Diceros bicornis minor: one gene and its partners. The protein of the gene in region 2 interacts with the protein of the main gene of each other region in a biochemical or structural test. Links are inferred from orthologs where the notes say so. Each region holds a gene or a part of one and is shown on either strand. Other genes may lie near its edges. The genes, in order: PDLIM7, SMURF1, PLEKHO1 and AXIN1.

Evidence for each region.
Region 1: the proteins of SMURF1 (region 2) and PDLIM7 are reported together in a solved structure, tested with the Homo sapiens proteins (2 studies listed by BioGRID, with this or other methods). The link is inferred for Diceros bicornis minor from reciprocal best matches to the Homo sapiens genes SMURF1 and PDLIM7.
Region 3: the proteins of SMURF1 (region 2) and PLEKHO1 form a complex in vitro, tested with the Homo sapiens proteins (4 studies listed by BioGRID and IntAct). The link is inferred for Diceros bicornis minor from reciprocal best matches to the Homo sapiens genes SMURF1 and PLEKHO1.
Region 4: of the proteins of SMURF1 (region 2) and AXIN1, one has a biochemical effect on the other in vitro, tested with the Homo sapiens proteins (2 studies listed by BioGRID, with this or other methods). The link is inferred for Diceros bicornis minor from reciprocal best matches to the Homo sapiens genes SMURF1 and AXIN1.

Annotation. Positions count from the first base shown.
Region 1 is NC_080740.1:90,709,109-90,716,694, forward strand, and holds the start of PDLIM7 (PDZ and LIM domain protein 7), read right to left. Parts: upstream 3,005-7,586; 5' UTR 2,901-3,004; intron 1,967-2,900; 5' UTR 1,956-1,966; coding exon 1,860-1,955; intron 1-1,859. UniProt on the Homo sapiens protein: May function as a scaffold on which the coordinated assembly of proteins can occur. May play a role as an adapter that, via its PDZ domain, localizes LIM-binding proteins to actin filaments of both skeletal muscle and nonmuscle tissues.
Region 2 is NC_080765.1:7,552,263-7,559,502, forward strand, and holds the start of SMURF1 (E3 ubiquitin-protein ligase SMURF1), read left to right. Parts: upstream 1-4,234; 5' UTR 4,235-4,329; coding exon 4,330-4,414; intron 4,415-7,240. UniProt on the Homo sapiens protein: E3 ubiquitin-protein ligase that acts as a negative regulator of BMP signaling pathway. Mediates ubiquitination and degradation of SMAD1 and SMAD5, 2 receptor-regulated SMADs specific for the BMP pathway.
Region 3 is NC_080743.1:54,644,330-54,652,112, forward strand, and holds the start of PLEKHO1 (pleckstrin homology domain-containing family O member 1), read left to right. Parts: upstream 1-4,781; 5' UTR 4,782-4,985; coding exon 4,986-5,015; intron 5,016-5,198; exon of another isoform or gene 5,199-5,217; intron 5,218-5,673; coding exon 5,674-5,820; intron 5,821-7,783. UniProt on the Homo sapiens protein: Plays a role in the regulation of the actin cytoskeleton through its interactions with actin capping protein (CP).
Region 4 is NC_080765.1:47,944,153-47,952,082, forward strand, and holds the start of AXIN1 (axin-1), read left to right. Parts: upstream 1-4,928; 5' UTR 4,929-5,038; intron 5,039-7,930. UniProt on the Homo sapiens protein: Component of the beta-catenin destruction complex required for regulating CTNNB1 levels through phosphorylation and ubiquitination, and modulating Wnt-signaling.

The DNA of each region.
Region 1 (7,586 bases), on a different chromosome or scaffold from region 2:
GGGATGGGAGAGTGCTCAGAGAGGTAGAGAAAGAAGCAGGAGAGAACTCGGGGGTAGGGGGCAGAAGGGTGGCTGGAGAGAGAAGCAGGGAGGCCCTAAGTACGAAGGAGGTGAAGAGCCAGGGGGCTGGACATTGCATGGGGTGGGGGTGAGTCAGCCTGAGGGCTCCACCGAGCAGCCCAACCCCCAAGTCCCAGACGTTACCTCATCTCCCAGGCCTGGGCCCACAGCCAGTCCTGGGAGCCCCTCCCTCCTCTCTCCATGCCGGGGTCAGGGGAGACAGAGGGGGCTGGCCCAGCTCAGAAAAGACCACCCCATCAGCCCACCCACCAGGGCCTAGGTCCAACTCCAGGGCTGGGCTCAGCTCACCACCCCACCCACACACTGGGGCTGCTGACAAGCAAGGCGTGGCCCAGAGTGCCCCCAACAGGCCACAGCTGAAAGTCCATCCCCCAAGCTCACTATGTTGCCCATCCCCACCAATGAAGAAACAGTCTCAGAGGCCAGCCAAGGCCTGCGACTCCCCAGCCACACTGGCCAGCACTTTCCAGGGAGGGGGATTCAGGATAGGTTTTCTGGGCTGGCAAGGCATCAGGACCGTAAGGGCTGGGTGTGTGTGTTGTAGGGAGACCTGCTGGCAGGGTAGTTTCCAGGGGAACCCCATGGAAAGGTCCCTGGGAAGATCAGTGACCGCCTGCCTGCCCTGGCCACCAAGCCCAACTCCCGCAGACTCCGCCTTGGGGCCCCTCTCAGGCTGGGCAGTGCCTGGACAACCTTCTGGCCCCCTCCAGGCTGTGCCTGCCCTGGGCTTCCTGCCAACAGCCGCCTGCCCACCAGGCACCCGGGTGGGCCTCTCTGCACAGGCAGATGTGGGGACAGGAAGTCCCCACCCCACACTGACTCCTAGGCCACAGTCAGAGACACCAGCCCTCACCCTCTCTGGGCAGGCAGTTTGTTGTCTATGTCCCACAACTGACCCTACAGCTGGAGCTATGGCCTGGTGGTCACCAGCTGAGGGGCCCACCAATGCAGTTCAGGGGTCCCGGCCTAGACCAGCCTTTTTCGGCTCTGCAGACTCCAGCCAGCAGATGGCCATCCCAGCATGGGGCTGCATTCTTGGGCTTATAAGGCAATCCCCCTGCCACAGGGAGGAGCCAGCCCTTAGCTCCACCCAGGAGCCCCCCCCAACCAGGGCAGGATCTTAGGAGTCACAGCCCTAGAGACCTGTCCCACACCCCTGCTTGGGGTCAAAGGCCACTGTATCCTGAATGGGACCAGTGGGGGATGCAGGTCCTCGCACAGGCTGGAAAGAGACCCTCCTCACTCTCCTAACCACGAAAACTGCAGGCCATCCCAGTGCCTGAATCCCAATCCCTGCTTTGTCATGGAATTGCTGGAGGAGCGCCTCCACCTCTCTCAGTCCTGAGCTCCCTCATCTGGAAAAACAGGATGACAACTGCTATTCCCTGGGTGGCAGTGAGGGTGAAGTGAGATCCTGCAGTCTGAGTGTCCTGCCTGGGGGCTGGCTCCAAGCATTGCTCCCTCAAGGGCCTAGACACTTCCTGGAGATCTCAGGCTCCCCTCCTGCAGAATGGACATCCCTCAGGCCTCAGAGGTGGCCCCAGGAGCTTCATGGAATGGCATCAGGTATAGTGCAGTGCTGGGGAAGTATGAGGACTTCTTTCCCAGTATCCACCTAGTTAGGAGTCCTTGTGGCAGGTGACCACCACATCTCTGGACCTGGACACCTCCTGGACTCTTGGCCCTGGCTCCCTCCTGCTCAGACTCCTCCCATCACCCACTGGAAACCTGAGCACCCAAAGACTCCTGGGGGAGCCCCTCCCCCAACCTAGGCTCACCCGGGAGATGGACAGGGGCACATTGAAGTCCTTGCCCCCCTGCAACCGGAAGCCCCAAGGTGCTGGGCCATCCAGCACCACCTTGAAGGAATCCATGGTGTCCGTTCCTGAGAGGAGAGAGAAGGTGAGTGGCCAGCATAGTGAGTGTGCAGGCAGGCCCAGCTCTGGACACCAGCCTTGGACTGGTGCCACGCAGGCACAAGCAGACGCTTAGCACACCCAGGGCATCTGCAGGCGGGCACCTTGTCAGGTCTGGCTGGGCTGCTGGCTGGCAGGCCTCACTTTGGAAAGACAGGGGCAACCCTCCTCCCCCAGGGACTGGGAGGGTGAGGGGAGCCCGCATCCAGTCTTGAGGTTCTTTTCATCCAGGAGTGGGCCGCAGGGCTAATTTGGCACGGCCTCCCCCTAAGCCAGCCTTGAGCCTCGGATGGCGGTGGGGTGAGTCAGGGGCCGGCACTCCTCTCCCCCGCCCCCAGGTCCCGGCAGGCAGGCCGCAGCTGGAGCCTGCTAGGACTATATAAGGCGTGTAAGCTGACACTGTGCGGAGAGTCAGCGGAGGGAGCACACGGGGGCTCGGGACGCGAGGGGGAGGGGTGGGGAGGGAGGCGGCTGGAGCGAGTCCTAGCCATTCCAGGACCGGTCGAGGCTGCTGGGAACCAGGGCGGGACCCCTGGGCGCTGAGGGGGACCGGGCAGGGGTGCAGGCTCTGCGGAAATCGGTGGGGGCTGGACCCCAAAGCGTGGCCAGGAGGGGGATTCATCCTGGAGCCCAGTGGGGGTGATGCCACTCCGACGTGACTCAGTTTCCCCCTGGTCCCCCGCCCGGGCCCCATGCATTGGCCGAGTCCCGAGCGCAGGAAGCGGCGCAGGCGCCAATCGGTCCCGCCGCTGCCGGCTTCGTCGCAGGAAGGCGGGGGCGGGGGCCCGGGCCCGAGGGAGGAAGCGCAGCGCTGGCCACGACCCCTAAAGCCCTCTGCGGTCCCCAGCAGGCCTCTGCCCCCCGCCTGGCCCAGCCCGAGACGCCCCGCGCTGTCGCCTGTACCTGCTCGGCCCCGCCGAGGCGCTGCTCCGCAGCGGTCTCCCAAAGGCGGTGTCGGGCTCAGCCGCTCGTGTTCTGACCCCTCCCCCGTGGCTGCCGTCCGCTTTGAGCCCGCTGAAGGGGGCGGTGCCCCAGGCCACGCCCCCATCGAGGACACGCCCGCGAGCGGCCGGTCCGTCAGTGGGAAGCCCCACCCAATCCTCCCTCCCCGCCCAATCACGAAATCCCGTCTCGCTTTGAGCTGGAAGGCACGGCCCGCCCCGGGCCCCTTGGTGGCGCGGGGCTGGCGCGGGGCTGGGGCGGGGCCTGGGCTGCGGGATGCCGCGTCTGGGAGCCCAGCCAGCCGCTCGGCCAACGCCTTGCGCCTCCCGCTGGCCGAGTGAAAAGAAGGCAGCCTTCGAAATCAAACAGATCTGGGCATTAGTTGTCTCTGAACATTAGTTTCCTCCCCGGAAAAATGGGACAATAATACTGGCCTTGCAGGGCCGCCGTGAGGATAGGCATTCTTTGGCGTAAGGCGCAGGCATCCGCGGCTCCAGAATTTCTAAATCGAAGAAACTTGGTGGGAGGAGACACATCGAGGTGGGATTAGTTGAGGTGGGAACAGGTTTGCAGAACACTCTACTGACGGCAGAAAATAAGGGCAGGAGCGGACGGAGGTGGAGGGGGCCCTGGGCTCGGCCTGAACTGTGGGCCCTGGCCTCCCTCCCACCCCGTGACCCCAGGCAGTCAGCATCCCGCTGCCTTGCGACCCCGTCTCAGCGACCCCACACTGTCGAGATGGGCTGTGTTCTGGTACCCGACTCCAGAGGGGGTAGCGCCGCTAGTGGAGGCGCAACGGGAGACTCTAGCGAGGGTGTCCGAGTCCCCGCTTGGCCCCCAGTGCTCAGCCCCGGCGGCTAGCTCAGCCGGCGGGGGAAGTTGAGCAGGGACGGGAATGAATCGACGTCCACCTCTCAGCTGCTTCTAGGGCGTGGCCGCGGCTGCCCTCCCTGCTCCATCATCACGCTTCCCCTCTTCTGCATCATTCCCCTCACTACACAAACTGCTGAGAGAGTTCTCATCTTTAGAGACATCTCTCTTGACCCCACCTCCCTCTCCAGCTATTGCTCTTTTATTCTACTCCCCTCGAGAGTAAAATCCCTGGAAGGAGTTGTCTATCGCCCTGTCTCCGCTTGCTTTCCTCTCGTTCTTTCTTGAACTCACTCCAGTCAGGCTCTCATCCCCACCAGTCCTCTGAATTAATTCCCTTTTCTCAAGGTCTTTGATGCCTCCAGGTTATCGAATCAATGGCGGTTTCTCAGCTTTGTCTTACCGGTCCAGGGGCATTCCCTCTTCCGCTGGCTTCATGCCTCCTCCTGCCCCACTGGCTGCTCCTTCACCGCCTCAGTAAACAGCACCACCATTCATCCACCTGGTCCAGTAAAAACTATGAAGTTATCCTTCCTTTCTCTTCTCTGTCATACCCCAGATTCTGCAATTCCCACCCTCAGAATATGTTCCACATCTGGTCACTGCTGCCGTCATTGTCCCTGCCACTTATCTCGTGTCTGGACATCTTAACAGTCTCCTAATAGAGCTCCCTGCTTCCATGCTTGCCCACTCCAGAGTCTTCACCATGCAGCAGCCAAAATGATATTTTTAAAGCAGAAATCATACCACATCACCCTCAGCTTTTAGCATTCCGGTAGGCTCACATTGTACTTAAAACTAAAGTCCTCAAGATGTATATGCCACTAATAAACTGACTCTACCTCCCACCACTCTCCTCCTTGCTCACTGCACTCCAGCCACTCTGGCCTCCTCACTGTTCCTCCAACATGTCAAACATATTCCTGCCTCAGGGCCTTTGCACTTGTGGCTCCTTCTGCTTGAAGCACTTTCACCCAGATGTCTAAGCAACAGGCTCTCTCACTTTGTTCAGGTCTCTGCTCAGCTGTCGCCTCCTCCAAGGGATCTTCTCTGGCCACCTATCTAAAACAGGAGTCCCTTGACACCTTGCCAGCATCAAGTACTAGTCCCTTACCCTGCTTTATTTTTCCCCATAGCACTTACAACCATCTGATATTATATCAAGTGTTTGTTTCTTTATTGCCTTTTCCCCCTTTGGAAACTCACTCCCATGAGAGCAGGGACTTGTCTGTCTCGTCCACCAACATTTCCCCAGTGTCTGCACACAGCAGATGTGAATGAGCAGATGAAGGAAGAAAGTGACACAGCACGTGAGCAAAGGAAGAAGTGGCAGCTGGGGGTCCTGGCAGTCCTCCAGCAGAGAGGACCCTGTGACCGCATTCCTTGGCCTGTGCAAGGCTCAGGCCTGGATGGAGCCACAAGAGCTCCCTGTATAGGCAGCCCCTGGGTTGCCCCAGGCTAGGACACAGTGCCCCCCGGCGGCCAGGACAGCTACAGCTCCAGGGCCAGGCCCCTAGAGTCCTGGAGGTTTCCAAGGACTTTCTCTTTCCCAGTCTGATTGGAACCTCACAGAAATTGCATGAAACAAAGAGGCTTAGATTTGTAGTGAAGGGAAGCATGCCTGACCAGGGACCCAGAGTCCTGGGTTCTAGTTCTGGTCATGACCCTGACTCTCTGGGTAACCTCCAGTGTGTCCTCGGATTTGCTGAGCTGTGGGGCAGAGGGGTCCCTGCCGCAGGCACCCTGACTGGGAACCTTCTGGCCTCAGCTGGCTCTATGGCAGGCAGCCTGATGGATCATGGGAAGATTTTACCCATCAGGAGGAGCTTCCGTAAGTGGGTCTGAAATCTGCCTCCCCATCGCTCCAATGTCCTGAGCTTTGCCCTCTGTGGCCACAGACACTCTGGGGCAGCACTGCACAGAACCCCCCAGCGTCCCTTCAGACGTTACATTTGGAGATGCCTTTTAGACAGCCAGAAGTCTAGTGTGCAGTTGGATTCTTAAATCTGGAGCTCAAGGGAGAGGTCTGCACTGAAGATATACCTTTGGGAGCCATCAGCATTTCTTTTGTCTTTTCTTTTCTTTTCTTTTTTTGGTGAGGAAGACTGGCCCTGAGCTAACATCTGTGCCTGTCTTCCTCTATTTTGTATATGGGACGCTGCCACAGCGTGGCTTGATGAGCAGTGAGTCGTTCTGCTCCCGGGATTCCAACCTTCGACCCCTGGGCCACCAAAGCAGAGAGCACGAACTTAAACACTACGCCACTGGGCCGGCCCCTAGCCACCAGCATTTAAATGACCAGTGAGACCTGGAGACAGGACTGGCTCACTTAGGGCAGTAGTTCTCAGCCTTGGATGCACACTACAATCACTCAGGGAATCGGACAAACTGATGCCCGGGGCCTGCCAGGACTGATGAAATGTGAGCCTGTGGGTGTGCCCAGGTGCAGGCATTTTTTAAAGTCTCCTGGGTGATTCTGTGTGCAGCCAGCGTTAAGCTACACTGTGAGGCTGGAGCCCAGGGCAGGACTCTGGCAGAGGAGGAGACAGCAAAGGCTGGGAAGGAGGGGCTCAGGAGGGAGGAGGAAAACCAAGTGAAGACAGCGTATCAAGGAGGGGTGTCGAATGCTGCTGAGAAGTTGGGGAGTCCAGCTCACAAGGGGAGTCCAGGTTGCTTTTGTTTTGGGCAACAGGGAGGTTGGTGACTGTGATAAGAGCAATGCAATGAAGTGGGGGGACCAACAGGAGTCTGGAGTTGGTGGAAGGGAGAATGGGAGATGAGAAAGTGGAAATGAGAGTAATCAACAACTCTTTTGAGGAGTTTCACTGTGAAGAGGAACAGAGAAATGGGGAGGTGGCTGAAGGAGAATGTGAGGTCAAGGGAAAGTTTCTTTTAAAGATGTAAAATTACAGAGCATGTTTGTTTGTGGCTGGAAATGACGATGATGGAATTAATGGGTCGAGGAGATGGGCAGCTCAGTTTGCCAAGCTGTTAGGTGGTGAGAGGAGCTGGGATCAGACACATGTTGGGGAAAAGATACTTCTTCCATTGTAGGGCAGGAAGGAGGCAGTGCAGATGCAGGTGCACTTGTAGAGGAGGTGGTGGGAGGTTTGGGGGGGGTGGTGTTCACCTCTGTCGGCTGCTGTTTCTCCAGGATATCTGCAAGCTGAGACTGGGCAGGGATGGAGAGGAGAAGGTGTGGAGGTCTCGGAGAGGAGAAAAACAGCCATTCTGGGACACAGGATCTCTGGGCAGCGTAGAAGGCCTGCCGATTTGAGGTCTGAGATCACATTGCTAAAGACAACGCAATCAGCCTGGTGATGTGAATGTCCCCAGTGTGGGCCTCTGCCAGGCTGCAGGTATGGAGGGAGTTTGGTGTTCCCGTGGCTCGTGGCTTTGCCAGACAAATAAGCTGGAAGACGAGAGGAGCGTGAGGGGGTGACTCCATTGGCAGAACACAGAGTCTAAGGTGGACAAGGATGGAATTGTGGACAGCAGCGGCACAGACAGTCAGAAGAGGGTCACCGTAGGTGGACGCGGCTGGAGAGGAGCTGTGTGGGTCGTGCTAGAGGCAGTAGGCTGCAAGAAGAGAAGGATGTGGCCAGAGCGGGGGCACTTGGAAACAAGATTGTGAAGATGGAGCATCAATGTTATAAAGATGGGATTCAGGATGTGCCAAGGGTGTGGATAGCTGAGCCTGGGGTCAAGGGGCCAGGAAGCCAGGTCCTTGGGAGCATGATGCTTGTGTGCACGGAGGCCCCAGGGATGGTGACAGGA
Region 2 (7,240 bases):
ACAGCTTCATTTATATGACCAGGTCTTCAAGAGTCAGGCGGGTGAGGACGTTTGGATTTATGTGGAGTTCTCCTCCCTGTTAACCCTGGATTATCTCCTGTGAATGGAGTTCATTCAAGTTCCTTCTAGGGTGACAATCAAATGTAATTTACTTAATGACAGGCTTTTGGGGTTGAAATTCATTTCTTTCCTGACAAAGTTGAGTTTTATTTTATACTGTATAACCTTAGGAAGATAGTCCAACCTTGAGAAGTCAATTTTTTTTTTTTTTGTGAGGAAGATCAGCCCTGAGCTAAGATCCATGCTAATCCTCCTCTTTTTGCTGAGGAAGACCAGCTCTGAGCTAACATCTCTTGCCAGTCCTCCTCCTTTTTTCCCCGCAGAACCCCAGTAGATAGTTGTATGTCATAGCTGCACATCCTTCTAGTTGCTGTATGTGGGATGCGGCCTCAGCATGGCCGGAGAAGCCGTGCGTTGGTGGGCGCCCGGGATCCGAACCGCAGCCGCCAGTAGCGCAGTGCACGCACTTAACCGCACTTAAGCCATGGGCCGGCCGAGAAGTCAATTTTAAGCAGTTGTTAAAAAAAAAAAAGGATGCTCATAGTTTACTTTCCTTAGAAGTCAAACCCTCAGGCATGGGAAGTACCCTGAGGACAAGCACCATTTTTGTTGTTGTTCTTCATGGAATCCTCCGAGTTTAGAACAGGGCTTTGCCTGTGGTGGGTGATCAGCAGATGTTTGTTAAATGGATGAATGGATTCACCACTCAGAAGCAGCAGCTTTTACTAACTGACCTTGGTTTGTCAAGTTATATGACCTTTTAATTTAAAGCCTCAGTTTTCTCATCAGGAAAATGAATATAATAACAGTATCTGTCTCATGGAGTTGTGGTGTTGAATAAATGCAATCATGATGTCAGATGCAGTATAGTGCCTAATGATCTTGTAAGCATTCAATAAATTTGAGCTGCTGTTATTAGTTATACTCAAGGAAATTAGATTGCATTTTTAAAGTTTCACAAAACAATGGCAAAGTTTCCAAACCTTCCAAACTGTTCACTGTGATTCCATTGATAGGCTTCATCCAATGTTTTTGGCAGATGTATTGGTCCAGCAGATGTATTGGTCGGATGGTTGCCTGGGAGATAGTCTGCTTCCAGGGTGGTTTCGGAAGTTCAAGTTGCACACTGCTCCTTAGTTCCTGGTGTACAATCACCATGTGCTCACTTTTCAGCAAATGAGATAGTAGACATCCAGGCTGAGGTAGAGTTGGAGGTAATAAACATTACCATTGCGTATGGCCTTTGTATGAGGACATTAGAAAGGAAAAATAAACGTGTTTAAGGAGACAACGTTGATAATTAACTGATCTAGGAACTGATTACTTTTGGAATATAACTTAAAAAATTTAGATAAAACTTTCTCTAATGAAAACTTGAATTTTCCTATGTTGTAAGGCAAAGAAATATGTGTCCACCTGTAAAATCACCCTGATTCTTCATGCCTTTGTTTCACTCTAACATGATTGGAAGACATTCCATTTGGTTTATTTAAGACAGAAACTGGAGACTGGAGATCTGGAGATGGAAATTATTCTAAAAGACAGAGACTTTAAATGAGATACTTTGCTTATCTCCCAAGCCAAGGGGTCTGGCCTGTAATACTTGGGAAGTAATCAAACAAAAGCCAACAGTAGCTTTGGAAATTGCTTCCTGGGAGGCCTGTCTTCTTTCTTCACCCAGGAAGAAGTCTTCCTAATGTAGATTCTGTGGGGCAAATCCACGGTGTCAAGAAAAGCAACATTTTAGGATTAAAAGTTAAAAATTAAATATGTCCCTCAGTTATAGACTTTCTTGGAGTGTAATGGCCTGATCAGTCCTTGGAAATCATCCCTTAAGGTGTAAAAATGACTGTGTTCATTAATGAGGGCTTTGTTCAAAAAAAAGTTCCAAATGCCCTCTGGACTTTATTACTTGTTTTTTGGCATGTACTTTTTTTTCTCCTGCATTGTATTACCTCTGTTTCGATGCAGGGGAACCTTTTTTTCCCTAGTGCCACCAAATGTCACTCATGATACCTTAAGAAATAGCATACATTCGTTCTGAAGAAGATCTGTCGGGTGGCGGTGTATGCAAAGCTGCCAGGCGCTGACTCCTGGTGGAGTATGGGGTGGCAGTCAGTCACACCACAGTGGAGGTTCTAGTAAAACTATCTCATTCATTCATTCAAGCACTTATTCATTTATTTCAACAAATATTTCTTGAGCATTGAATTTATGCCAGGCCCTGTGTTCCGTGCTAGGAATGTAATGGTTCAGAAGAATAGTCCCTGCCGTCTTGGTGCTTATGTTCTAGTGAGTAGTTAGACAGGAAAAAAATAAAATTTATTTATTCAGCAAACATTTTAAAGTAACCTCTGTGTGCCAGACACCATACCAAGCTCTGGATACAGTGGTGAATACCAAAGACACAGTCCTGTTCCAGTGGACGTTTTTGTATGGGACAGGCAGACATGAAGCAGCATATCAATAAATAGAGGATTTAATTTCAAACTCTGATAACAGCTGTGATGCTGCTATGATAGTGTAATGTGGGATGGGGGTAGAAGTGGGGATGGCTGCTGAATCTTTCTGGATCTGAATAATTTCACCAATAAAGTGGAAAAAAGTGACACCTGCCCTGTATGTCCACTTGCCTCATCCTGTAAGAATAGGTAGAGAATGATGTATATAAAAGAGCTTCTGAGACTCTAAAGTCACATGAATGGTGTTAGTGTTTGCTGCTGGTGGGGACCGAAGGGGACAGGCAGAGGAGCAAGCATGTCCCCTCATCTCAGAGCTGAGCTCTGCCTCATGGGGGGAGGAGAGTTTCTGCCACAGCAGCCCTGCCTCGCGGGTGCTTCAAGGTTTGGGGCTATGAGCTGAACCCTGTCACACTTCTGAGGTCAAATAATTCACACAGTTCTGTCCTTTATTTTCTAATTTAATACATTGATAGAAGATGAAGCTGTAACACTCATATTTTAAGCAAGGAGGTGTTTGGAAAACCTGTCTCAAGCCTGTCAGTTTACCAGAGTCACCCGCACCTCCAGAGCCAATAGGGACGGCTGGTGATTGCTAAAACGTGTTTTGTTAACTTAGACAATTTTACCTGCAAAGAAGAAATCATTTTATCATCTAATGGTGTCTGAATAGTGGAAATGTGTTAGTGTGTTATGTGTATAAACTTATTGAGAAGGATTGGGAAAAGTTGTTTATTTCATTAAGCAGGTAATGGAACAGAGTTCAATTCTGTATGGATTTGAAGATTTTGGCATTTAAAGTCTGCTGATGTAACTCAAATGTGATTGTTTTTTCCTCTTAATGAAAATTTGAGGATTTCCTAAATTTGTATGAGAAGTGACGGATGAGTGACTCTGGTACAGGGCCTAGAAAATGACATGCTAGTGAAGCACTCTGATCAGGAAACCTTACTCTTTGCCATGAGCAGGGATTCTGTTTTTACTCTTTTTTGTAGCTTAAAGGATTTTTCCCCAAGGAGATAAAAAGAGTGAGTTTTAGACTTAAGTTAGATGAGATAGACAACTAATAATATACTTTAAATGCATATTATGTGCTGGTGGCTATCCTAGGTGGTAAATTATATTTTCTAATAAATGAAAATTTTACGTAGATGTTTTAAGTTAGTGAGATACCTTAATTTTCTATATTTTTATCACTGTTACTCTCTGGCTTGCTTTTTGTTTTCTGTTCATCATAATCCACGTTACGTGCCTGTTGTGTGGCCAGCACCACATGAAGCCCGTGTCTAAAGGGGTGGAAGGTGGGACTTCAGAGGAACTTAGCTGGGGGCAAAGCCACCCGTATGAAAAGTGATTGAGCACTCAGCTCTCTGGCTCTGACAGTAAACAGGAGTAAAGCGGCAACAGATTGCTGCTGGTTAGAGTAGTGATTCCCGGAGCAGTCAAAACATTATGTAAATAAGGCTATCCACATAAAATTGCCAACTTTTTATTTTGCCAAGTCACTGTTGAAACTATTACCATTTTTTGTTACCTCATTTCGTTAAAGATAGGATATTTCAACATGAAAAAAATAGACATAACACTGGGACAAAGGACAGGTGTTTAAAATTAATTAGTTCAGTTTTATGAAAACCCACTATATTGTTCTCACTGTTTTCATTTTGGCACTAGTGAAAATGTTATCACAGAGTGACGTTTGGGAGACGCTGGCCTGAATGGGGCTTCACTGAGAAAGTGGGCCTCGCCTGGCTCGAGAAGATAGAGCACAGGAAGAGAGAGGGCTTGTCCGGTGGATTGAGGAGCAGGAATGACCGCCCAGCGGGAGCACTGGTTGGGGCGGATGGAAGCGGGGAATGAACCCAACTACGCTTTGAAGAATGTGGGAAATAAAGGTGATACTAGAGAATGGGACACTTTAAAACTCAGGGAGAAACAGATTTGCAGTAAATACAAGACAGAGCCATTGGAGTCTTTTGAGCCTCAGAACAGGAAAATGGCATTTCAGAAGACTAATCTGGTGGCTAAGTGTAATGTGAATGGAGAGGCTTGAGTTAGGAAGGGCACGCTGCTCTTAGATTAAGCTGTGAGTAGGTGAAGCCGAGACTAGGAGAGTGAGTACAAAAGCAGGGGAAGGACGAATTCAAGAGACAGTTGGAAGAAAGAGAAGGTAGGATGTGGTGATACATATAAATATAAGAGGAGGGAGGAATAAAAATTACAGCCAAAGTTTCTAGCCTTGGAGAATAGAAAAATAGTGTGAAGTATTGACACAAATTAGAAAATTTCTTGTATGTCAACTATTTCTCATTAAAACCGGGGGAAAAAACCCCAAAAATGGAAAATTTCTTAAGATGATATAATAAAGTACTAAATTTGTGTTGATGTAGCTTATCCTGGGAGTGGGTGAAACCACAAATAGTATTTTGGGGACCCTATGCTTTTGTCAGCGACCTGGTAAAGAAGCTTGTCTTACTAATTGAATTTACCTCAAGTTAGCAAAACACTTCCCTTCCGTGTATTTTCAGATGCTAAGTGAACATCATGTAATTTACTCTTACTTTATCCCCAACATGAGGAAACTATGGTACGTGATTAGGAAATTATAGGATGTAAGAGACATGATTTGTCCAAAGTAGAGAGCACTTGAGAGTTGGAGTTGAAGCAGCCATGCCTGGTCTACACCGAAAAAATAAGCTTCATTTTTTGTAAAAGTAAATGTCTCTTTTGTTCATTGTGGTATCCCCAGAAACTCACTCATAATTGGTGTATCACATACTTGTTTAAAAATAAGTGGTATATCTAGACAGAGTGGGATTTTATGCTGTGTAATAAATTATCTTTTATCATTATATCTCCTAGAGTAGACAAAGAGAATTCTATCTCAAGATCACAAAATTATTCTAGTGGGAGAAATTAATATGCCTTTAACTAAAGTAGATTCAGTATGATCCTAAAGGATCTTTGCACAAAATTGAGGCAAAATTCTCTTTATGCTGACACTATTGAGACCTTCTCCACTTTGTGATGTAACCAAATTCCGCTGGAGTGAGCCTTAAATTAAAACATTGCCAGTCTTGTAAATATGAACAAAGATTAATCTTTCTGAGATGTTACCAGAATTCTTCCAGTCAGAAGCAGTCCAGCACCAGCACCTCAGAAAAACCAGGGCCCAGAGCTGGCGGATAATCTTGGAGGCTGGGGAGGTGAGGTTGGTTGGGGGCAGAGCATGACAGGTCTGGAGTTGTGCAATGGGAAGCGACTGTGGAATTTTTTAAAAGGAAAGAGACATGAGGAGATTTAAATCTTGAACAGATTACTTGGTGATAGCTAGTGTTGGGAGCTTGAACAAGGGTGGAGATGGTTTGAGAGAGATTGAGAAGTATAAGGATGACACACAGATTTCTGGCTTGTGCAGTTGATGGGTGTTGCTGGTGGTCTCTGAAGTAATGAATCTGCGGAGAGGACCAGGGTTTGAGGCGGAGTGGGAAGATTTTAACTTCAGTTTTGGACACTTTGAATTTAATATGAGAGCATTTGAGACATTCAAAGCTGTGAGAAAGAAAAGGCAAGTGAAGGAAAGAGAACATCACAGGCCCATTTGAAGAGAGTTGAAAAAGACGGCTGATTTTAAATTAACTTAAGAAAATTGATGGCTTTCCTATATCCAAATAACATTTAGAAAATGCAGCGAGAGGAACCCTCATGAGATTCATGATAGTGACAAAATCCAGAACACTTAAGAGTAAACCCAGTTAGAAATGTGGAAAACTGTAATGAAATACTTTAAAACCTCACTTAATGTTTAAAGACAGGCATTAAAGAACTTAATAAATGGATGATTAACTACATTCAAGAATGGGAATACTCAATATTGTAAAGAGGTAAATTCCTCTTAAATTTATTTATGAGTTAATTTTTTTAACTGGCTCAAAATGATTCTATAGTTCAATGGGAAAAGTAAGTATGTGAGACTATCCAGGAAAATGCTGAACAAAGAGTAATGATGAATTTCAGGGGCATGCATTTTCTGTTTATACATTTCCAAGTTTTCATTTTTTATAAGTAATGTATTAATTTTGTAATTAGAGGAACAAGAAGTAAAACACCAGCAGGAGCTGTAATAAATTATGATCTATCCACAAAATAGACTGAAGAGTGTGTGTGTATATGTGAATATATATGTACACATATATTGCCATTGGAAAGGAAGGGTGTAAAGATTATGCTGAAGAGGAACTATTACTACCAACTATACTGAAATAAAGAGGATTATCAGGGAATGCTGTAAACAACTGTATGCCAACAAATTGATAACTTAGGTGAAATTGACAAATTTTTATTTTATTTATTTTTTAAAATATTTTATTCTTCTTGTTGCAATTGTAAATGGGATTGTCTTCTTGAGTTCTCTTTCTGTTAGTTCGTCGTTGGTATATAGAAATGCAACTGATTTCTGTAAGTTGATTTTGTACCCTGCCACTTGGCTGTAGTTGTTGATTATTTCTAATATTTTTCCAATGGATTCTTTAGGGTTTTCTATATATAAGATCATGTCGTCTACAAACAGCGAGAGTTTCACTTCTTCGTTGCCTATTTGGATTCCTTTTATTCCTTTTTCTTGCCTAATTGCTCTGGCCAGAACCTCCAGTACTTAGTTGAATAAGAGTGATGAGAGTGGACACCCTAGTCTTGTCCCTGTTTTCATCTTTCTTCACTTT
Region 3 (7,783 bases), on a different chromosome or scaffold from region 2:
CTCTTGACCCCTTTTACTTTTCATTAACCACATTCCTACACAACTCATTTCTGAAAACTCGTCATGTTTATGCAGAGAGCCATCCAAATATTGAGTGTCCCTACATTGCAATTTTCTGTGGCACTGAGAAACCATGTATGGCTACAATAAAAATCCATTTTATGAAAAGATACAAGTGATTTGTTTTTGCTTCTTTGGGGTTAATAACTATGGGAATTCATGAGACAAGGCATGAGCTGGCTTTATACCAAACATAGAGAAGGCATTGCCTCTACCTGAAAGACATTTAAAGTATGTCAAGGAAAATAATAAATTCAAGGCAAATAATAAATTCTGGTGTCAGTTTCACTTCTCTTGAAAGCAGTGGAAAGTGATGATGTCATTGATGCCAGGAAATTATGGCGTCCTCAAATCATAGCAAAAACACCACAGCACAATCCCTCCCTGGCTCTCGGTAAGTCTTTACACTTTTTTTTAACCTTTCTTTTATGTTGATAAACATTCTCTAGCATCAGATAGCCTAGGCTGAAATCTATGTCACAGTTGTGTGGCTTTGGGAACGTTATTTAGTCTCTTTGTGGCTCAGTTTCTTCATCTATAAAACAAGAGTAATAACATACCTTCCTAATAGGATTGTAAGGATAAAATGAGATAATACAAATAAGCACTTAGGACATCACAAACACTCAATGAAATTGGACTAATAATAGTAAATAAGATTGATTCCTGTCTCCAAGTAGGGAATGCAAAAATCACTATGCAAAATGATTGGATTCCTGTCAACCCTCCCTCTGCACTAATAAGCAATTCAAGAAATTGAGGGAAAAGCTGAAGGTCATTCTCTCCATCTCCCTTTTCCCCATTCCTCTCAGCTTTCAGCCATTGTTCCTTACCTCACACACACTCACATGAAGCCCTAAGGGCAAAAGTCCATAGTAAAGCTAAGAGCTAAGATCTAAATTCTTTTCTTTTCTTTTTTGCCTTCTTTTTTTGTTTTTGTTTTTGTTTTTGAGGGTCCCTTTGGATACTATTTTTTAATTCTTAATATTTTTATAATAATAAAAAAGTGACACAGCCTTCACTTAGGGAGACAATATTTTAAATACAGCTTTTTACAAGTTACATAGTCTTTTCAAATAAACAGAAACCTCCCTCCTCCAAGCAGGATTGCCTGTGCTTCCCTTCCTCTGCGCAAGACGTCTTCAGAATAAGAATAAGAACGGAGACTTTTCTTATATCATTCTCCTCATTATTTGCCTGCTGCCCATGTGCCTAGTCACTAACAATATCAAGAAGTCTAAGAAATGAGCCTTACCCTCAGGATGTTTGATGCCAGAAATTGGCATTTCTTTGTTAAGGATCAAAGGTTCATATTTTTATTTAAGATTTACAGAGCTGATTACATTATTACTGGTCCTTTATTTTTTCCCTTTAGAAACATCATTTTAATTAAGGTCTCATTTGTTTTTAATGACCTCTCTTCAATGGACTGAAGTGCCCTCTATGTCCCATTTAGTCCACAAAAGCCAAGGTACTTGTTTTTAGCTAAACAGCTGTTTGGATAACAGGTTCTGCTCAGTAAACTTGCAGGCAGCAATTCACAAGTCCTTATCTCTTATAGCTCCCTTCTTCCTCCCTTAGGTGGAGTTACTTATAAAACAGTCAGTTGATGGGCTGGCCCCGTGGCTTAGCGGTTAAGTGCGAGCGCTCTGCTGCTGGTGGCCCGGGTTCGGATCCTGGGCGCACCTTCACACCGCTTCTCCGGCCTCTCAGCATGGCCGCATCCCACATACAGCAACTAGAAGGATGTGCAGCTATGACATACAACTATCTACTGGGGCTTTGGGGGGGGGGGGGAATAAATAAATAAAATCTTTAAAACAGTCAATTGAAGAATAAAGCTACCGGCAGTTGTCTTATCCATGGTGATGCAGTTAGGGAGGTAACCCCATCACAAATCCTCCTAGTATATCTCCACCTAAGAGAGAAATTGGCTTGAGTGGTAGTGTCAAACTCAATGAGGAGCCCGTGCTATGAAAATGTGTAAAGGAACTCTTGACATTTCTAACTTAAAAATTGGTCTTTGGAAACAGTCCCAATTCATAGATCCCAATTCAGGTGCCATGAAGTTCACCTGGCGAGAAAGAAGTCAGCTGGAAGAACAGGCCAGAGGAAGAGTATGGCATAGGGAAAGAGGGATGAGTAACAGGACAAAGTGAGAGAAAAGCTAAAGGTCACCCTCTCCATTTCCCTTTTCCCCATTCCTCTCAGCTCTCAGCCATTGTTTCTTTACCTTACACACAACACTGTGAAGCCCTCGGGCTTCTGTCCATGTTATAGGATGATAAGATGAGGCAGTGCAGCAGCGCAGGTTAATGAGAGAGAGAAAACCAGAGATTTATGTAACATCCTAAGGAGCAAATAGGCAGGGAAGGTTCTCCAGCCCACATGCATCTGTTCTGGAATCTGAAAATTACTTTGGAGGGTTTTGGTTTTTTAGCAGTCCCTCTGCCTGATGTTCCACAAGGCTCCTGTCCTGCCTGACGCAGCACACAGGGACCCAGGACCTTGCATCTAGGAGGCACTCAACTATTTGCTGACCAAAAGGAGGAAGATGGGGCAAGTCATGAATTACTTTTTTTCCCGTAAAACGGAATCTATTTAAACTATAAATCCAAACCACTCCTATCTGTCTGGTCAGCAAGCCCTCAAAAGATCATGCAGGCTAGTTTCCTCACCAGGACAGTGGGACATTTTGCTTCCCCACTTATGAAGATACCCTGGATTTTCTCATTCTTTTTAAATCACTTTTTAAACAGAGAAGGTGGGAAATAGATGATGGGAAAAGGAAAGGATGGTGGGAAGGAAAGAGGGGAGAGAGAGAGAGAGAGAGAAAGAGAGTGTGTGTGTGTGTGTGTGTGTGTGTGTGTGTGTGTGTGTGTGTGAAGCCTAAATAATAGACTGGTGTCAGAAAACCTGGATTCTAATCCATTTAGCCAGTAACTTGCTGTGTAAACTTGGGTAAGTCAATTGATTTCCCATGCCCTGTTTCCTCATTTTCCAAGTGAGAATAATAATATTTATTCTATATATTTCACAAGGTGGCACTAAAGATTTAAAGAAATGATACATAAGAGCATTTTGAAAGGATAAATTTCTATATCATCCTAAAATAGAGGAATTAGTATGGTAAATGAAAAGAGGTTAAGAAGAATATTATTGGATTAGGGAGAAAGAAGGGACTGGGAAAAGAGAGAATCCTCCTCCTTCATTTGACAGATACCAGAAAAAGCCAAGATCATGCCACTCCTCAAACCGCAAATTTGGCCAACGATTTCTTTTATCTTGAGACATCTCCAGAAAAAGAGTTCTTCCTTCTTCCTGCTCCTCTGTGCCAGGGATTTTTATTCATTTTGTGGTTATTGCGTGCCTACCATACGCCAGGCAATGTGTTTGTTAGCTTATTTTTATTTAAGAATTAGCCCTGGAGGGCAATATTTATATTTTCAGAGGACTTTCACAGGTCATCTCATATATTTTCCTAACTTTCCTTGTTGATGGAATGGGCAGTTCATCCCTCACCATTTCATATGTGGAGGAACTGAGGCCTAAAGAAATTCAGTGACTCAACCAAAGGCCACGGAGTAGTGATGAAACCAATACCCAAACCTAGGTTTCCTGACTCCCTTCTTCCCATTAAATATGTATTGAAAATGAAGTTACTGAGATGTTGGTCTGTAGGCTCTGAGGCAGATCTGGTGTAAGAGGGATGAGCAGAGGTTCCGCCACTCAGGTCCTCCTCTGGGCATTGAGCCCTTCCCTCCACTGGATTTGAGTGCAGTAGACAAGATGGGATTTTTACATGTCAGTGCAGCAGGGAGAGACACCCAGGTGGCAGGAAGCTTAAGTCTCACCTGCAGCTTGTATTTAAAGCCACTTGGTATAACGGATCACGGCTTCGGAGACAGAATTCTATTCCTGCTGGAACTTAACTGTGTGTGTCTGTAAATCCCTCAGCCATTCTGAGTCTCACTTTTCTTTCTCTCTCTGCAGTGGAGATCATAATGTCCACCTCACACTGAGGGTTATTCTCCTGAGGCTCAAATAAGGCCTGCGGCTTTGTAAACTGCAAGAAATGCATATTAACATTAACTTCTCTCCCACCGCGTCCCCCTGCACATTGATACCCTCGGAAGCATAAAACTTTTCCCCAACATTTGTCCTGCTCAGGCCACTCTGTCTACCTCCTAGGGAGAGGGCATTCCAGACGCCGGTTCTTAGTAACGCGCCCTCCCAGCTCACGCTCTTGTTTTTGTTTTGGGTTTGGGAGGGAGAGGATGTCGAGAGATGATCTCGCTCTAGCTTATCTCTGGTCTTCATAAATCTATGTCTCTCTATCATCCACTCCAGCTGCCTCTGCTGTGTCTCTCGGCAGGTCCGGCGGGTCTGTCTTTTCTGGCTCCACCTCTCGCTCGACCGTCTGTCTGAGTCTGGGTCTCTCTGCCCCTCCAGGAGCCTTTCCCGGCTGGGTTTAGGTCTGTCTTCTTTACCCTCAGTGAGTCAGAAACAAAGGAGGGGGGAGCGCACCATCTCCGGCGCCGCGATTCGCCCTTTATTCCGAACTCGCAACGTCAGCGGGCCGGTGGATGGAAGTGCGGGGCCGGGCCGGGCCGCCCACAGCGCCGGGCCGGGGGAGCGAGCGGGCGGGCGGGCGGGCGGCGGGGGCGCGCTCGGGGCCCGGCCGCGTGGGCGCCGGGATGGAGGGCGCCGGGGGGCGGGGAGCGGGCGTGCGTGTATGTGCGAGTGCGAGTGCGAGGGAGGCCGGCCTTTAGTGTAACCGGAGCTACAAAGAAGGGGAGAGTCCGGAGCGGGAGGGAGGAGCGGCGGCGGCGGCGCCGGGGGCATCTCCGCCACCCTCCCCTCGGAAGGAGCCCCCGCCGCGGGGCCGCCCCTCGGCCGCTTCCCCGCGCCCGCGCCCACCCGGCATGATGAAGAAGAACAATTCCGCCAAGAGGGTGAGTGAGCCGCCGCCCCGCGCGCGCAGCCGACTTCGTGCTCCGAGGACCCCGGCCCCGTCGGGGCTGCGGGCGCGGGGCGGGGAGCGGGCGTCCTGCGCGAGCCCCCGCCCTGCCCGCCCGGCCGCGGCCCCCGGCCTCGCCCTCGGCGCGCCCGGCCCCGCGGGGAGGCGCCGGCGGGGGCTTTTGTTTGTGGACTCGGGTGGGGGGCTTTAACTTGGCTTAGTTTCTGCCCGACCCCCAGCGTCCCCTCCCCGGGCGGCCGGCGGCCGATCGCGTCGCGCTCTGCAGGGGCGAGCAGACAATGAGAAATAAAATAAAACGCCGCTAATCCGGCGCCGCGAGCGGAGGCTGGGGGAGGGGGTGGGGGCTGGGGAAAAGCCGAAGGCCACCTCCCCGCCAGGCCGGGCCCGAACCCCTGCCTCTCGCGGCTCGGTTGTTTATTTGGGAGAAGGGGGAGGGGAGCGACGGGGAGAGAGTTCGGCGGAGTGGAAACCTTCCAGAAGTGGGGGATCGCCGCTGAGCTCCCCGACTCCAGCCTGCGGCGGGCGGTCACAGGACAGCGGGAGCGGGGACCGAGGAGGTCGGGGGACAGCAGGAGAGAAGGAAAGAGCTGTGCTCGCCTAACCGCACGGTTCTTCTCTCGCCCCGGGGGCAGGGGCCTCAGGATGGAAATCATCAGTCTGCACCGCCTGAGAAGGTCGGCTGGGTCCGGAAATTCTGCGGGAAAGGGATTTTCAGGGAGATTTGGAAAAACCGCTATGTGGTGCTGAAAGGGGACCAGCTCTACATCTCTGAGAAGGAGGTAGGTGCCCTTTGCCTCTAACTATCCCTGTTTTCTCTTATTCCCCACTTCGTCTCTCCACAGGGGGCTTATCGACCTCTCATCTCCCCCTCGCCTCACTCCCCATTTTGTTCCGAAAGCAAGTTCAGGTTGATCTCTACCCCCATATCTGCAGAGAGAGGTCATCCTTTAGGGAGAGGACCAGAGTTAGAAGTTGGCTGTACATCTTATTTAATGGTTTCTCTTTGCAAATACCTTTCTGACAACGATGATAACCCCCTCCCGAGATATCCCGAAAGTTCTAAGTGTCCCCGGCTGACCCCTACCCTATCCTGGTCTCTAGCTGAACGTAGGATTTTTTTCTTTGCTATTGCTGCTGAGACACTCTGTTCAGCTTATTCTCCACCCCTTCCTGTCCCCCCACTCCGACCCGCTGGCCTCCCCTTTCCTGTCTCTAGCAGGGGCATACGGGTCGTCAGGCAGCTCGGCTGCCCTGAATCACAGAAAACACACACCCAACCCAGGGGCAGTCTCATATGATCTCAGGTAGAGTATGAGAGGCACACAGTTATTTCTGTTGAAGCCAATGTCCCTAACCACTATGCTCTCTGTTCCCCACCCCCACTCCACTAAAAAAAGAAGCAAGGAACTCATTCTCCACCCTCTTCCTGCCCACCACCCCTCATTCCTATCAGAAGGGAGAAAAGTGAAGTTATGAACCCGTGTATGTTTCCATGTCTTTGGCTCTGTAGTTAAAATGAAAACCTCAGTCCACACTGGGTCAGAACCTGAGGCCAGATCATTGAATCTAGACTCTTCTCCCTTTTCTCTCTAATTCTTGGGATCAATAACATGTAGTAATATTGAGAAACTGAAATTGCCCCTCCAGGGGTTAGAAGTCATCCCATCCCTACCTCTACAACTGTGTCAGCATAGCCTAGGAGACTGTCCTGTGTTCCCCTGGTCGCATGCCCTTCCTCCCCCTGAATCTGCATTCCCTCCCCCTGGGGCTAACTGGGAAGTCCTCCCTGAGTTCTAACCTCTTCTGCTTTCTGCAGCAGACTATATTTAGGTAAATAAATCCTTTTATGGTATTGAAACAGACACACACGCAGGCCTTGAGAAAGTATTCATCTGAACAGAACATCTACTAAGGCAACTAGGGTAGAACTAGCCAGGGCCAAAGAGATCCTCGTCAGGGTGTTTACACCTGCTGTTTACACTAAGCTGGGCACTTGGTGATGGAGTGAGGTGAGAGAAGGCTTTGACAGGAGGATTTATTTTTAAGGGTCACCTCTACCCAATCCCAAATCCTACAAAAGGTTTTTCCACAATTTGCTGGCTTTCCATTTAAAAAAAAAAAAAAAGAAGCAAGTGCCAAAGGGTATCTCCTGTCTTCCCGAACTACATAATGGCAGGAAACTCTAGTGAGCAATCAGGGAGAACTTCCCACACGTCAAAGGGGAGACATGGGAACAGGGAAGAGGTAGAAGGAACAAGACATTTTTTTCTTGTTTGTATTTGTCCAAAGAACAGAGTCTGGGGGCGAAAGAGCGTGGTTGATCCTTGTTTGTTGAGGAAGGGGTACAGAGACAGGGGAAAGGATGAAATGACCTCAGCCTAGGATGTCTGGTGTCCTGTGACTCAGGAGCATCTGACTGGTCATGGGGCCAACAGCCCCCTGCTGAGGAAGGCATAGGAAAAGAGGGAACAAGCCTATTGATATTACTCTTCTTTGGAGCCGGTTTCCTTGCTACAATGGCCTGGGTTAAAGGTGAAACTGATAGAGGACTCTAGGTTTTATTTTGTCCACTTCCCAAAAGCTCCGGAGCTAACAGATTCAAAAATTTTCTTTAAAAATGCATGGCATAATGTTTGTAATTCACATGTTAATGCAAGAAAATTCCTGACCCCCTCCACTAGAATTTGCACCAGTCTTTTTTTGTTACTTCCCCTCATAAAGGCAGGGTCTCCCACAACTGCC
Region 4 (7,930 bases), about 40 Mb from region 2:
TAGGACAGGGACCATCAGCACAGGAAGACATACAGCAGCCAGGTGGAAGGTGACAGTCACGCCGGGTATCATGCATGCAGCGGTGGACACTGGGCTGACACTGGAGCTGACCTGTTTGAGGCAAAGGCCTGCTCCCGTCCCTGTACCTCCCCAGCTTGGCCGCGGGACCCCAGATCACTCCCAGGGCGTCTGCCTGAGGCAGCTTCAGCTGAAGGGCTGGCGAGAGAATTCCAGACAGCAAGAGGGATGCAAGATGCCAGCCTGGACAACACACCTGCCCCAGTGTGAAGGGCGAGAGGAGCCAAACACAGGAGGAAAGAGGCGGGGGGACCTGCCAGACGCAGACTCGGGGCCCAGGGAGCTCCAGCCCAGAGTGTCCACGGGAAGCTGGGCCGGCCCAGGAAGCTCGAGGTGGCACCTTTTCACTGGTCCTGGGGCCAACTCTGGGTGACTGCCACAGGCACAGCACAGGGCCTGCCACCCTGCCCAGCACTGCCCAATGGGTCAGCTCTGTCGTCCCCCAGTTCTCAACCCTCTGCCCGAGCTGCTCCAATGGGTTAACTTATACTGAGCGTTGATGGAGAGATGGCGCTGCTGCAGAACTTCAGGGTCTCCACGTGATCATAACAGCAACATCGTTGTAGAACTTCTTCCTGAAGGCACAAAGAAGAGAAGGGAGCCCACCCCAATCCTGCTGTCTAGCAACAACGGGTGTTAATGCTCCAGGATGGTTCTTCAGTCTTCTTGACTGTATACCCACATTTCCTGTGCTCACAAAAGCGGGCACCATGCACGCACTGTCTCCTAGCTTTTCTCCTTGGTGTTATGTCTCTCCATCTTGGTGCAACATCTCTGCACCCTCTGTTGGGCCTGGGATGGTGGCACAAACAACACCTTGCCCTCCCCCGAGCTCAGAACGGATGGAAAAAGGACACTCAGGCCAGAGATGGAGCCCAGGGGGCTGGGCTTACGGCCAGGAAGGTGGCTGGCCAGTGTGACTGGGGCTGCGCCTCACAGGGAAGTCCACTCCTCATTGGTCAGAACTGGATAAGTCAAGGCCTCCCTCCCCAGCCTGCCCGCCCACCCCCACCTCTAGAAGCCCTGTCCTGCGCACCCAGGAAGACCATGGGGATCTGCCGCACAGTGTCCCATCTCTGTAGCTCTTTCTCTGGTGCTGGTGTTCCCCACCGCGCATCAGGCCGCGCCTTGGCGTGCCTCCTGGGTGCCTGCCGGGGGGATTCCTTTGGGTCACTTTTCATAAGCTTTCTCAGCCAAGCGGACGAACACGTGTGAGGCTTCCAAGCTCAGTTTATTTCAAAGTATTCCTTTTTTGTCTAAGTTGAAGAAAATAATTTCATTTCTGCTTTTTTTTTTTTTTTTTGTGAGGGAGATCAGCCCTGAGCTAACATCCGTGCTAATCCTCCTCTTTTTGCTGAGGAAGACCGGCTGTGAGCTAACATCTATTGCCAATCCTCCTCCTTTTTTTTTTTTTTCTTCCCCAAAGCCCCAGTAGATAGTTGCATGTCATAGTTGCACATCCTTCTAGTTGCTGTATGTGGGATGCCGCCTCAGCATGGCCGGAGAAGCGGTGCGTCCGTGCACGCTGGGGCTTCCGAACCCAGGCCGCCAGTAGCGGAGCGCGCGCTCTTAACCGCTAAGCCACCAGGCCGGCCCTCATTTCTGCTCTTAAGTTTCTCGTTTAGTTCAGGGAAAGCCTGAATGAATTTTGTCCCCAGTTAATCAAATGGAAGCCTCTAGTGGCAGACTCCCACTCCCAGAGAAGGGGAGTTGGGTTTTAAAGGGCTTCTGTAAAGAAAGGACGTGGCTCCGTCTCGGGACTAGCCTGTTCAGAAGGGAGGCTCCCACGGCTCTGTGACTGGTCTCAGCTCCAGGTGCCTGATGCAGTCCCCCTGCCAGCTCACCCCTGCTCCACTGCAGGCCCCCAGGGCCGCCCTCCCTCTCTTCAGAGTCTTCACTGAGCTCGCTTATCTGGCCCACCCCCACTCCACCCTGCTCAGACAATGTCCCCTGCACGCCCACAGCCGTAACCCACTGTGGCAGGGCTGCTGCGTATCCTCCAAGCTTTCTGACTCCCTTCCTGTCCCTGCAGGGCGGGGGCCCTGAGAAGCCAGAAGCCCGAGGGCCTTGTTCTGGTCCCAGGGCCTGGGGACACCTGCTGCCATGCGCCAGGAGGAGGATGGACGTGGACACAACCCTGGGAGCCTGGCCTGGCCGCAGCAGTGGCTCTGCAGAACCAAGGCAAGCGTGGAGGGCCCGTATCTGGGAGTGGGGAGGCAGCCTGAGGGCCAATGTCCAGGAAGTCCTGCTGTCTGTCCAGGACTCCCACACCCCACAGAGACCATGCTGTGCCATGAGGGTCACCACTCTGTCTCCTGGAAGTCTCTGAGGCTGAACAAGGTGGGGGAGGAGCTGCAAGGGCGTCTCCCGTGGCCAGCACTGCGAGGCCTGAGGCCATCCCAGCTGCATGCAGGTGAGAGTGACGCCTGCCGCCAGGACCCTAGTGGGGCCAGTGTGGGTTAAGCAGAGCAGCTCCTGTGATGTGCTGTCCTCACCCACAGCCCCAGCCCCTGCCCAGCCTGCCCTGAGGTGTGGTGATGGCCCTAGGAGGTGGCCTGGGCCCTTGGCAGGCTGGGGATGCTTCCCGGTCCCCATCCCTCACTGCCCCACTTTCCTACAAAACCCTGGGCAGCGGATGCTGTGCCGGTCCCGGAGGAGGCCGGCTGGCAGTGGCTGGGGGCTGGGATGCCTCTGTACCCGCTCACACAGGAAGGCACCACCAGGGGCAGCTGCTGGGAGGTGGCTGGTGGCTCAGAGTGCCCTGAGCGGGGACTTCTGCCCTTGCCTGGGAGCTATGAAGGATGAGGGTGGGCAGCAAGGGTGAGCAGTGTCCAGGAGAAGGTGCGGTGGCATTAGAGGTGACGTGGGGGACTTGGGGGGGCAGGGTAGTAGAAACATGAAGGTGGGCAAGTGACCAGAGGCACCCAAGGGAGGGTGGTGTGGAGGAGATGTCAGGGAAGGGCCCTGAAAGGCTATGGGCACCAGAGATCAGGCCAGATGAGGGCTGTTGGGGAAGGTGTGGGGTGGATGAGGTGTTGGGGAGCCCTGGGCTGGGAGGTGAGCAGGTCTCTTTGTGGCCTGAGCTGCAGCTTCCTCTTCTGTAGAATGGGGGTACAGCCATCCCCTGGAGGCTGCTGGGGGCATTGCTCGAGGTGCCAGGCCTGGCGTGGCTCTGTGGAGGACAGGGTCCTGGGTGGTCATGGGGCATCCTAGAAGTGATTCCTTGGGGCAGTAATCAATTCCTGGCGCTCACATATGTCCGTGGTGCTCACATCTGAGTTGGTGGTGGGCAGGCAACATGGAGTTTGCCAGCTAGGCTTGCAGGTCAGGCAAGAGCTGCCAAGGTGACAGCTGGGGGGAAGGGATGGTGGGTGCAGGGAATGGGACACCCAGAAGCAATTGCTCTCAGGCTGGCCTGGGCGAATGGGACCCGCAGGCAGTGGTGGGAAGGGGAGCCCTTGTCCAGACCCTGGATGGTGCCAGGGAGAAATTGAGGCAGGCAGGCCCAGCCGAGGTGGGGTCTCAGCCAGTCTCAAGCACAGCTCTTTGGCAGTTGGGGCTACTGCCCAAGTGACAGCCAGCATTATCAGACACCTCTTGCCCACTGTGTGCCTTGGCCCTGTCTGAGTCCAGACTGCCTGAGGACCTGGGGAGGGGAGAGCCCTGGCCCACCTTCTCAGGGTCCTGGCCAGCCAGGGGGCAGCAGGCATGGTGAAGGTGGAGACAGGAGCTGGACATCACGGGGGCTCAGCTCCCGGTCAGCCTGGCTCTGCCCTCCAACCACCCAACTTCTGGACATCTGCTTCCTTCAGTGCGCCGGTAGTTGGTGGCCGTCCAGGGCCACCTGCAAAGGTCCTCCTGTCCAGGGCCGGCGGGCAGGGAGCCCCGCGGTCTCCACTCCCTCTGGCCACCCCGTCCGCCCAGGCACAAGCTGCTCGCCCCGAGCCGGTGGGAGGCTGGCTGGGCGCGGGCCGACCTCGGGAGCCCTGGGCCAGTGGACACCGGTGTGGGCGGCAGAAAAGGGCTGCGACCTGGCGTGTGCCCTGATGCGGGGCCGGCTGTCCGCTCGCTGTGTGCACCGGGCCGGGCATCCCGTGGCCGGGGTCCTTCAGGGAACCTCGCGGGGGCGTCCCCTGACGCCGCCCTCCGGGACGCCACCGCCCAGGGGGACGAGCCCAGTTTCCCGCCGCCGGTTCCGGCTCCCCTCGACAGGGTCCCGGCCACGCGGCACGCCCAAGGCCCCAACCCCACATCAGTGCATCTGACCGCGCCCCCTCGCTCTGCCTCGCCTCACGCCCCAAGCCCGCCTGGGCGCTCTGGCCCCGCATCCGCGCTCAGGCCCTGCCTCCTCTTTCCAGGCTCCGCCCTTCCCTGCGCTCCGGCTCCGTCTGCCACTCTCGGCCCCGCCCACAGACCTGGCCCCGCCTCCATGTTAGAGGCTCCTCCCACACGTTCTTAGCCCTGTTTGTGCACCGTGGCTCCTTCTAGCGGTCCCGGCCCCGCCCCACGCTCTCCGCCAGCTTTACGCTGCGGCTCCGCCCCACACTCAGTCCCGCCCCACGCCCCGCCCCCGCCCCACGCTCCTGGCCCCGCCCCACTCCCTGCCCCCGCCCCCGCACTTCCGGGCGGCGCCGGCGGGGGCGCTCCGGCCTGGGCTTCTGCGTCTGGGCTCCGGCTCCCCGCTCAGGGAAGCGATCGCGGCCGCTGCCGCCGCCGCCGCAGGACCGGCTGGAGTCGGGCCGGAGCCGCGTCCCCGCGGAGCAGGCCACGGAGAGCGGCGGCCGGCCTCGGCGGCGCCCCGCGGCCTGCCCCGCGCCCACCTCCGGGCCGCCGCGCGATGGGGGCGGCCCCGGGCCGCGCCCCCGCCCGGTCCCGCCCGCCGCACCGCCACTGAGCGCATGGGCCGCGCCGCGCCGCGCCGCTCCGGGAGCCGGGCCCGGGGCCCCGCCGCCGCGCGCGGGTGAGTGTGCGGGCCGGGCGCATTCCCGAGGGCGCGGGCCTGTGCGGCCGCATTGTAGGCCGCGTAGGCCGGGCGGGCGGGACCCGGAAGAGGGGCTTGGCGGGTGCGGGCCAGGAGGGCGAGGGGAGGCTATGTGGGCCGGGAGTGTGTGCGGGGAGGGTATGCGGGCTCCAAGGGTGTGAGGGGAGGCTGTGCGGGCTCCGAGGGTGTGAGGGGAGGCTGTGCGGACCGGGAGTGTGTGCGGGGAGGGCATGCGGGCTCCGAGGGTGTGAGGGGATGCTGTGCGGGCCGGGAGTGTGTGCGGGGAGGGTATGCGGGCTCCGAGGGTGTGAGGGGAGGCTGTGCGGGCCGGGAGGGTGTGAGGGGAGGGTATGCGGGCTCCGAGGGTGTGCGGGGAGGCTGTGTGGGCTCCGAGGGTGTGAGGGGAGGCTGTGAGGGGGCCCTGGAGTGTGTGAGGGGAGGGTGCAAGAGGAGGCATGCGGGAGGGCCCAGGCTGTGCGGGGGGTTGGGGTGGGGCCTGTGAGGTCCAAGGCTGTGGAGGCAGGCGTGTCAGAGGGGGGATGCTAGCAGGGGATGGAGAATGCGAGAACTGTTGACACTGGCGTGTGTGAACACGGAAGAAGCAGACTTTGGTTCAGGAAGTGCAGACTCTTGGTTTGGGGGAGAGGAAGGGTGTGAGGAAGACCCCGGTTTCCGAGAAGGGGTGGGTGGTGCTCCTGGAGGAACCTGGGGTGGGAAGCTGCTGCGTTTGATTGTGTGGTGCCAGGTGTGTTGTGGTTCTCCTGCCTGGGGTATGTTTTGTGGTGTGGGTGGGGTGCAGAGTAGCTGCTGGGCCCAGACATTCTGTGCAGGGATCTTGGAGAAAGACAGGGCAGTGGAGCGTCCCTTCCCTCTCCCCCCAGCAAAGAGTAGGAGTGAGTGAATCTGTGCCCTGGGCTGCGTCCAGCTGTGGGTGGCCTGTCCAGTGGCTGTCCTCTCTCAGATTGATGCCTTGCCTCCAGCACTCTCTCTCGGGTGTGGATCTTAGATTCTGCCTCCACTACATGTTTTGGAATTCAGTCCCCCATGGAACCAGAGCTGCACAGCCAGGGCAGTGAAACTTGTAGCTCGGCACAGAGGACAGTAGAGAATAATACACCAGATCTCTGGGGATTTTTCTCAGCCCATCTCTAAGATAATTTGTAAAGAGTTCTTATTGTGCATCTCGGCTTCTCCTCTTTGCTTGCATTTTATGTTCTTTGCTTCTTTAGGAAGAATCTCGGGCATACTTAGACCCACAGGCTCTGTTTTGGAGAACACACACAGTCTAAACGTGACCTCCCAAGATAGTCGGCAATATCTGGGTTTCAGTTTTAAGAACTTCTATTCAGGGACAAGGATGGGAGAGCATGCAAAATACAGTGTTTCTGTTTGATTTTCAGCAGGTGTTGGTGTTTCTTGGATTTCTAGTTTCAGAAAAGCTAAGTGGACTTTTTTGGGTTACATTAGTCATTGAGAATTGAGGTGGTGGGGGAATGCATTGTGTGTAAAACAGTAGACCTGACCCTTCAAGAGTTTAATTAGCAGACAGTTGGGAAAATGTCATTCTTGCTCTGTTACTTCCACAGTCCATATAGATCAAAAGTTCAAAAGTTATATTTGACTAAAATAAATAAATACATACACATCTGTAGCATCGAGCTGGCTGCCCTGGTACCCAGGGGGTATGCCTCAGCAGTGACTAAATGAGATTTTAAATGCCGTATTGGAGTTGTAGATTCCTTCTATGGAATCCCTTTATTGATGGTGGTTACAGGCTGTTGGCCAAACTCAGTGCTTGTGGGCATTTGACTCTAACCTGAATTAACATAACTGCTTTCTGTGTGGTATGCACACGTGCGGACACTAAATGCTGGTGTGCTCCTCTGTGGGAACCCAGAGGTTGCAGGACCTGGAGCACGTTTCAGTGTCATCAGTAATTTGGAGAGGTGTTCATGTGCTCCCAGGGACACCAAATGTCTCTGTCAGTTGACAGCCAAAAATAGATGTGAATTACAAGGAATGTTTCTTTTGGGCAATGAAACATAGTTTAAAATGATTAGAGGGACTTGTTCACACATGAATTAAAATGTTAGTTTTTTAAGACATCCACTGTTTTGTAATGAATGGCTGGGTCTTGAATTTGCTGCTTGTTCTATAGCACAATAATTTAGCGTCTGTAAAGAGTTAACATTTGGCATCTATGACAAGTGTTGTTTTCCTTTATGTCAATGAATTAAATATTTATTGGTGCTCATTAGTTGCAAGACTTTGTGCTAGGTGCTGTGGGTTCTGCAGAAAATGTTTAAATCAGCCTGCTACAAATAATTTACATAGAAGACATAAGCACCTTAAGAGAAAGTGACAGTGACTCCTAATTAGCCTCCCATTTGCACACAGTGACTTGGTTCTTTCTCAAGGCTAGTGAACTACAAGGCATCTCCAAGGGTAAGGCTCAAGGGCCAGGTGCTGGCCCTCTTTCCTAAGATGGCATCCCGGACAAGAGGACATTAGACGTCCACAAGCTGGTGTGGAGCTGAGACACCGAAGGTGCTCATTCCAAGTTGATAGGGCTCAAAGAAAGCAACTTTGCAGTTGATGTGGTCCAGGAGCAGCAGGGTGCCATAGCCCATGGGCCTTGACCTTAAGAAACAGGGCATTCCTGCCAAGGCTGAGATTACAGCCTACCCAGTAGTTTACATAGAAAGTCATTAGCTGCAGAAATGTCATTTGGGGCACATAATTGTGACCTATTCTCTGTCTCTGGATGCTTCTCGCTTCTAGCCATCTGCAGCTGCCGGCAGGTGAAGTGTGTGCAGCATGAGAAGGCAGGTGTGAGGGGGTGGATTACACGTATACCAGTGTGAAGTAGCC